Linked DNA regions of Drosophila melanogaster. The protein of the gene in region 1 interacts with the protein of each later gene in a biochemical or structural test. Each region holds a gene or a part of one and is shown on either strand. Other genes may lie near its edges. The genes, in order: tra and tra2.

The links.
Region 2: the proteins of tra (region 1) and tra2 interact in far-western blotting, tested with the Drosophila melanogaster proteins (one study listed by BioGRID).

What each region holds. Positions count from the first base shown.
Region 1 is NT_037436.4:16,589,559-16,592,913, forward strand, and holds tra (transformer), read right to left. Parts: upstream 1,493-3,355; 5' UTR 1,486-1,492; coding exon 1,446-1,485; intron 1,373-1,445; coding exon of another isoform or gene 1,302-1,372; exon of another isoform or gene 1,198-1,301; coding exon 794-1,197; intron 737-793; coding exon 587-736; 3' UTR 501-586; downstream 1-500. Other genes in the region: l(3)73Ah (lethal (3) 73Ah), read left to right, coding at 91-216; spd-2 (spindle defective 2), read right to left, coding at 1,846-3,355. UniProt on the Drosophila melanogaster protein: Member of the regulatory pathway controlling female somatic sexual differentiation, regulated by Sxl. Activates dsx female-specific splicing by promoting the formation of a splicing enhancer complex which consists of tra, tra2 and sr proteins.
Region 2 is NT_033778.4:14,601,504-14,606,630, forward strand, and holds tra2 (transformer 2), read right to left. Parts: upstream 2,835-5,127; 5' UTR 2,694-2,834; intron 2,636-2,693; exon of another isoform or gene 2,626-2,635; 5' UTR 2,597-2,625; coding exon 2,481-2,596; intron 2,423-2,480; exon of another isoform or gene 2,233-2,422; coding exon of another isoform or gene 2,231-2,232; exon of another isoform or gene 1,999-2,230; coding exon 1,845-1,998; intron 1,787-1,844; coding exon 1,658-1,786; intron 1,622-1,657; exon of another isoform or gene 1,483-1,621; intron 1,403-1,482; coding exon of another isoform or gene 1,391-1,402; exon of another isoform or gene 1,374-1,390; coding exon 1,001-1,373; intron 940-1,000; coding exon 917-939; 3' UTR 501-916; downstream 1-500. Other genes in the region: Blos1 (biogenesis of lysosome-related organelles complex 1, subunit 1), read left to right, coding at 1-341; CG12868 (uncharacterized protein), read right to left, coding at 3,133-3,602, 3,664-3,697; CG33469 (uncharacterized protein), read right to left, coding at 4,190-4,672; CG33468 (uncharacterized protein), read right to left, coding at 4,871-5,127. UniProt on the Drosophila melanogaster protein: Required for female sex determination in somatic cells and for spermatogenesis in male germ cells. Positive regulator of female-specific splicing and/or polyadenylation of doublesex (dsx) pre-mRNA.

The DNA.
Region 1 (3,355 bases):
AGTAACTGCTCTCAGTGAAAGCTCAGACTGGCTTAGTTACTTGTATACATGGCACATACTTATATGATAACTACGTATCTTATCTTTCAGATCGACATACTGTGCAACGAGGAGCTGCTCGGCAAGGATCACACGCTGAAGTTCGTCTACGTGACGCGCTGGCGCTTCCGGGATCCGCCGCTTCGGCTGCAGTTTCGTCCGCGGGTCGAGCTCTAACCACTGTTTTAGTATAATGCCACAACAAATGATCTATTTTTATAATTTATTGACAATGCGTAAATATCGTAATTAGGAGAGTCGCTAGTGTTAGTCCCCTCGAAACCATGAGTGTATGTGTAAATGTGCATGTATAAAGTCGTAAATATATGGTTATCCCTCCTAGAATTAAGTAACTTCCACTTCCTAACTCGTGTGACCCTTTTTTTGCCGCCTTCTTTGCTGCATTTGCTCATGATTTAATCAACGTTCTCCGTTTGCAATATTTTATGTTCTCCATTTTTAGTTTGAAATATATATGTATTTATTATTTTAATGTACAAAACACACGAATGTAAATAAATTTGTAATTATGTCGAATGGAGTATGTTCAATATGGGGGACGCCCCGCGTTTCTGTAGCCAAATCGCGGAACTCCAATGAACGGCGGTCGCTGGCGGTATCTGTAGGGGGCCGGTGGAAACGGCGGAGGACGTGGTAGCCTTTGGTATCCAAAACTTTGCTGCATACCAGACATCCCCTGCAAAATCGATTTAAGTTAGATTTGTTATTTGTTTCAATACAAATAACTACTAACGTAGAAATCCTGTGGTGGCACTTGCACATAGTAGTTGATGATCTTTGGCGGAGGATTATACCGATGCGGGCTCCGTTGACGGCGTCTTCGTTCACTGCTGCGACTTCGGCTATGTTGACGGCGTTTTCGTTCACTGCTGCGACTTCGGTTGCGATTGCGGCTCCTAGAGCGCTGGCGATGCCTTCTGTGCCTGCTCTCTCTGATGGACGACTGTGATCTGGATCTGGAGCGAGTGCGTCTGGTGGATTGGTGCGCTCTTTGGCGCAATCTTCTCAACCGATCCTGTTCTCGAACCTCGTCTGCAAAGTACGGAATCTTGTGCTCCTTCTTTCTGCTGTCCCTCTCGCTTGATCGCCCATGGTATTCTCTTTCTCGCCGGGATCGAGACCTTGAGCCACGGGAATCTATGTGAAAAGAGTGTGCGGTTAGTCAATGCATCTAACGCATAGTGTTTGGCGCATCGTCGGAGACGGAATCCACGTAATGCGCAGTTGAGAGTCCTATTGTCCTAGCTTCTCTTTCTCTGTCTGGTCGTCCAGCGTTCATTCTCATCCATTTCACATTTCACACAATATGACACTAGAAAAAAAACAACAAAAAGATGGCACTGGATCAGAATCTGATCAGATCGGTTATACTATATAGTGGGTACCTCGATGCTGGGTTCCACTGCTGTCGGCATCCATTTTCATCGGAAAATGCTGGAAATTAAATGATGCACTTTCCTCAGTGTGACCGTACTCGGCTTGCACCTTGCAATGTGCCCGCCAACTCACTTTTCGACGAACTATCGCTACATATACGTTACTTTTTGAATATTCGAGAGCAACATATCAAAATTTAAAATTAACTCATATACTTTATTAGTTTTTATTTAAGCTAAATTCAACTTTTAGGAAACAAGCGAGTATTTTAACTTTAGGGTTATGCGTTTTCCTTACAAATACTCTGCAAACACGGTTTCATTTCACAAGTACACAATACAATTTTTGTTTAAACTAACTACACAAACATAGGGAAAGCAGAATTAGCAGGCACAAATAAAACAAATTTTAAAATTTAAAACTAATCGGGACACTGATGCGCTCGTTTTCCATGGAGACCACAATGAGCGGCTCCCTTTCGAGCAAATCCTGCCTGGGTGAGCGGAGCAGGCGCACATCGATCTCCGCGTGGCCGCCATCCGGGGATACGTAGCACTCACTGGGACTGATTCGCACCAAATCGGGCACATTGCATGTGACCTCGATGAGCTGCCTGGAGCAGAAGCTGTTGGTTACGGACAAAGTGGCCAGTGGCGAACAGCCCACTCCGAATTCCAGCAAACCTGGCTGCACACACCAGTTTTGCTCGACGGGCGTCAACGTTGTGGTGTCCGCCTCCAATAGCTCATCCACTGGCTCCAATAGATGGCTCTGCGTTGGCGTCGGCGAATTGGCCACACATATGGTGCGGAATAGCACGGTTTCGTCGGCCTCCGGCAGGAACATCAGGGAACTCTCAGACGATTCATCAAAGTCCCGATTGAGGGTAAGCGCAACATCAATAATCCGCACTACTGTGACCAAGTCCAGAATAAACTCTGGCGGTTCGTTCAGCTGACCGATGTTGCGCACTGGCTGCTCGTCCGGAAATTCGCCCCAAATGCTGTCCAGCATCGGCGATGTGAGTTTCTCTCGCTGTCGGCTGCTCATCCTTTGGACCAAGCTACGCATACGCTGTCTGTTGGGCTCGTCTCCGCAGAAAATCCGCATATTGGCCAGGGTCAACACCTGTGCGGTCTTCTTAAGTATGTTCTTCAAGTCCTCACGATTCGGTCGGAAAAGTATCTGCACGCAGCGCTCGCTATTTGGCGGCAATATCAAGCGGCTCGGACGTACCTCGAAGGCCTCGCTGAGGCGCAGTTTCATGAGCACGGTGGAGTCCACTGATATACCAACGAAAGCGGTGAGAGGGCCCTTGTTGTGAAACTTGAGATTCGCCGAAAGCGGACCAGCGGACAGCTCGCATACATCGCCGATGGTAAGGAAACTGGCGCCCACCGGTCCCTTTAGCAGACCGTTTATGGTGATGGACGCACTGCCCCCGTAGCCGTACAACGGAATCTCTAGGCCCGGCTGGTTGCTGTTATGCGCTCCTGGTGGTGCATAGAAAGACAAGGCTCCGATGGCCGCTCCACAGACAGTGGGGCAAAAGTTGATCACTACCGAGCGGCATTCCATGGCTTGGAGTGTGATCGTGCTGCTGTCGGTGCCCACCAGCTGGAATCCGGGTCCCTGGATGCCAAGCCGAATGACCAGCCGTTTGTCCGCTGTGTTCTTAACCTGCATGGACTTACGCACATCTGTCCGCAGCTTTGTGCTTCCCCAACAGAGGGTCGTGTGGGTCACCTTTAGGGGGAGCAGTTTTCCATCGCGATGACTGAACTCACTAGAGTTCGAGCAGCGCGAAATACTACGTGGCACTGCAACAGAGCTGGTTCCCAACCCACGTCTTCCACTCGCTGTGAATCCGCTGGTGGAACTGGCCTCACTACCTGCGGGCGAGGAGTTTGCTTTGCGG
Region 2 (5,127 bases), on another chromosome or scaffold:
CTCAGTCTCTGGTGGACACCCTAAATGTGGGCGTGGCTCAGGCCTACCTGAACCAGAAGCGGCTGGACGCAGAGGCAAAGCAACTGCACTTGGGCGCCACCAATTTCGCCAAGCAGACCCACCAATGGCTGCAGCTCATCGACCAATTCAGCACTGCCCTAAAGGATCTCGGCGACGTGGAGAACTGGGCACGCAGCATAGAGGGGGACATGCATACGATTAACCAGACCCTAGAGCTGGCCTACAAAGCCTCTCGAGCGACACAGACATCGAGCGGAGCAGGTACATCCCTGGAGGCCTCTACTTCAGCGTCGGCAAGTGCAAATCCCAGTGCTACTTGAGCGTTTTCCAAAGAATGCATTTGTATCCTGTGGAGATCCATTGAGTAAGTGTATGACCGGTTCTGCTTCCCATACAAACTTAGTTAATCCTAATTAAACTGAAATTTATAGAAGCTTAAGTAAATGATATGTACGACCAATTCAATAAAACGCCCATTCACAAGTTAATCGTCGCTTCTGTACAAATTAATCTTTATTTTGTACCTGCTGCACAATTGCATTTATAATTAAAATTAGTTTAATGTTATCATTATCAGTTTGCTGCAGTTCCTTTAAAATACATATCACAATCCATGCGGACCTCTGTATGTAATGTTGGTAATTGATTTGATATTTACAATTTATGTTTTTATACAGCATTAATAATAGTAACCGAATTATTATGATTAAAGGGTGTTTTGGGTGAATAATTAATTAATCTAGTTGCGAACTGTTCGCCAACCAAATGCATTAGATGGGATAGGATTCACCAAAACAATATTTCAGTCGTATGCTCCTTTACAGCCCGTTTGACACAATCCAGTTGGGCGAACTTAGGAGCACGAGTTAATGAAGTAGCCTCCTCCCCAGGCGCTTTAATAGCGCGATGAAGTTCGACCTAATCGTGGAAAATATACAGGATAAACGTTTGATTAAATAGACGGAGGAATAAACTTTACGTAGTTGCGGAGAGCGTGAACGGCTGTAGCTCCTGTTGCGAGTGTAACGGTTGCGACTAGGGCTCCTGCGGAGATTACGGTCGTAGCGATCGTTGCGGTAATCATAGCGATCACGATAGTTGTCATAGGGCGAAGCGGAGCGATCGTGATACACACGGCGTCCTCTACGCGGTGAAAATGAGCGTGGAGCTTTTCCACGCGGCTGACGACCCAAATACACACCCGGAGTTGGGGTATGAGCCCGTTGGGTTATAGAGAAATCGACGCGAATACGGCGACCATCCACTTCTATTCCGGAGCAGCTGTCCTTAGCCGCGCGGGCATCGCTGAGTTTCTCAAAGTAAATGAAACAAAAGCCCCGGGAACGCTGTGTCTGTATGTCAGAAGTTATTAAGGGTTAATCTACGTTTGTGAACTTGAACTTTCCTAACAACTGAACACATATTGATTTCGGGAGATCAATATTTCCTTCGAACAATATGCCACTGTGACAGCAAGCCTTTAGCTTTTAGTTTGGAATACACAAAAACTCACAATCGCTATCAAATTTTATCTAGCCAGAAATTAAGACAAAACTGCAGGGCTTCAGCGGATTTGTCTACACAAAAGGATTCAGGCAGGAAATATCTTAGCAATGCTTATCGAAAACCGACTTACTTGTGCGTCAATCACCATCTGGATGCGTTCGATAGGTCCGTACTTGTTGAACAGCTCGCGTACCTTGTGCTGCGAGGTATTTGTGTTCAGTCCAAAGACTCCTATGCAGCGGCTTGCTTGTGGATGTTCCTGAAACGCCGAAGATCTTTAGGATTGAAAGGAGGCATTAATCGGCAGAATGGCTTACGCGAGACTTGTGCATTCGTTCGCGATCGCGTGATGAACGTCCGGAGCGATGACGCGGCTCCGGTGGCGGCGACTCCGAGGAGGAACGCGAACGGGAGCGTCGGCGAGAGGAGGACCGCTGGTGCCGGCGACTGCCACAGTAATCGTAGTCAGACCTTGATTCGATGTGGAATGGAATGAAATAAGATTATCTTGCGGTTCGTTCTTGAGGGTCTTGAAAAGTTTTGTATTTCGTGTGGATTTCGGGTGGTTCTTGCACGCCTTGGTAACTGACAGTTGGAAAATTTGTGTGACTTGACAAATGCTACGGTTGGGTTCGACCTCTTTCGGCCAAATTCTTTGGTAGTTGGACGTAGAATGAAAATGATTGCTTCGGTGGGTTCTTACATAGTGATGTTCGTTGGTTGGTTGGTTGGTTGGTTGGTTTCTTCCAATGAAATGAAATCGGCTTGAATGATTTTTGGTTTTAACTTTCTTGGCAAGAGCACCAGCTGAATCGGCTGAGGGGGCAAATCCAAATGAAAGGGCCCTATGACAGTTGAACCTTTTTTCCAAACTGCCAGTCAAAACTACTCGATGCTTCATGTCAAAAGAGGTATCGTTTAGGGTCGTCTCACATATGTGTGTACACATTTACCTGCGGTCCTTGTGTCCGGATGAAGTTGTCCCCGCTGACGATGATGACGCCGATCGCTTGTGTTTATATCTGGCGCTGCAATGGAGACGCCCGCTACTGAGTGGCTCCCGATCCATTGGCTTTTTGCTTACCTATCGAAACTTCGCTTATCGGAGCAATGGTGGCGAAAAAAGAAGATGAATGGGTGCACACTATTTGGATTGCCGTTCTTACCATTTTTGAGGGTTTGATTCCCTGCTATATTGCACACCCAATCAGTGTTTACCAATTAATTGATAGCCTTTGGCAGGTTTTATTTATTCTGTCTGCGTTTAGAAAGACGCACGCTTCAACAGGGGTGGCGATAGGTGAGGACGTGCGTTATCGATTGGCACTTTAACCCTTATGCGGCGTTGTCATCCATTTAGAAAAAAAAAACACAAGCGGAATTTATTTAATGTTATCGAATATATTTAACAAATTAAATCAGCATAATTATTATGTACTTTATTCAACGAAATATAGGAAAATAAACAAAATTTGTACTACAAGAAAACAATACTATTTGATTGGTTAGCAAACCATTATGTTATATGGATTTTGTAATAGTACAATTTATTATTCTTGCTTTTAGATAGTCATATACAAATTTAATCCTAAATCACAGGTTAGTTTAGCGATACCGCATAGACCACATATTCTTCACCATCACATAATTATATAGTCTCTGGTGTTCCAGATGATGCAGATCCGTGATGGTTTTCACCACTCGCTCGTCGTTGAAGTGGCTTTTAGGTGGGGCTTCCAGGAGATTTCCCGTCGTAAACCACTTTAGGTTCGAGAAGTGCTTTCTCACACTGTCCCGCAGAGCAACTCCACTGAAAACTGGTGTGCGGTACAGATCAAACATATTCTTCTTGCCATACTTCTCGTGGATCTCATCAACGGTCTTGTCCAGATCAGGCTGCTTGGCGTGATATATGACCCATAGTTTTCTTTGTGGGGCACGGAGATCTGTCAAGCTAAGAACTCCAAAGAATTCTACTATGTAGGGATTGAGTTTGGGTGTTTCAGCTTTTGGTTTTAGACAGAACAATTTTCTCAAATGGCTGTCGATTTCCTCATCCAGGTTGTAATCTCCTTCTGCGAATCGGTTGTTAATCATCGTTGATGTTCCAAATAAATAATTTGCCGTTTTAATTACCCGTGTTCTTATCAGTTACTGAATTCGTTGTCATATTTTAATAACGAGGTGACTCTTGCTTCTCTGACTTCTGAATGCGTGTTAACTTCCTACGCACTCTTATTAAATACCCAACAAATACGATTTCAACTGATTTGTATAAAGTTTGTTTCGTTTTGTTTACGATTTCCAATTTCACAACAAAAGAGCTTTTTGAAGCAACCCTGTGGCCTATCAAAAAACAGTGAGCTTTTAATGCGCTTGTTTCTTTTTAATACCTATTAATGCAGACAACTAGGGTGTTTATGTTTGTTGATTAGGATGATCGGATGACTGTGTCTTTAGACTCCAAGGTATATACTATTATGTACTACTATATTATAACCGCAAGCTACTTGTGTGTGTATATATTTTATTCGACATATTTTTATAAATCATTTAACTTGACCAATAGGTTGTAAAATGTATAATAATACCCCCTATCAACAAATACACATGCCGCTTTTAGTCAACAGATGTCGACTGTAAGTCGATGTTTTTAGTTAGTTTAATGTTTAGCAGGAGGTGGTTTTTGATCATTATACCGCTCAAACCAGGCGTGTTGTATCATTATATAGTCAAAGATTCTTTTTTGCTCCTTGTTATGCAAGTCCGAAACAGTTTTCACTAGTCTTTCATCATTATAATAACTATTTAGTGGAGCTTCCAATTGATTTCTGCTTGTGAACCATTTTAAGTTGGAGAAATATTCTCTGACGACTTTATGAAATCCCACTCCGCTGAATGTGGCGATCTGAAATATTTCTCTGACATTCCTATTGCCATATTTCTTTCGAATCCTTTCCAGAACCTTTAACCTTTCTAATCTAAGGCCATAATAAATGTACCACCGTTTTTGGGCAGCGACATTTGGTTCGTCAATACTGAATATTCCGAAATATTCTATCGTATCAGCATCCAACGACGTAGGTTCTGCAACTGACTTCATATAAAATAGACGTCTCCAGTACTTTTCCAATTTATCGTCCATGTTGCTAATATTCCCTGCTATTAAGAAATATAATCAGATGAAAACTTAAGGTGATTCATAGGCTTTGCCCATTGATAAGTGTGCGGCAATTTTGCCTTCCTACCTCAACAAGCGTTAAAAGAATACTGGTTAGCATTTATTGGCATTTATTATTTTAAAGCTTTATTCTAGAAAGTCTTATACATAAATGAAAATATTTTATGCATTTATGTTTCGATATGTACACGATTTATACAGATTACTCCTAGACATAAGGTAATCGAAGTATCTTCTCCTTTCGTTCTGATATAAATCTGCAATTGTGTTAACCACTTTCTCATCATTAAGGGAGCTACCTAGCGGGGCTTCCAAAATGTTTCCTTTTACGTGCCACTTAAGCCCTTTAAAGTGGTTCTTAACACGGGATCGCATTCCAGCCCCTGTATATACCGGTTTTCTGAACAGCTCGTACATAT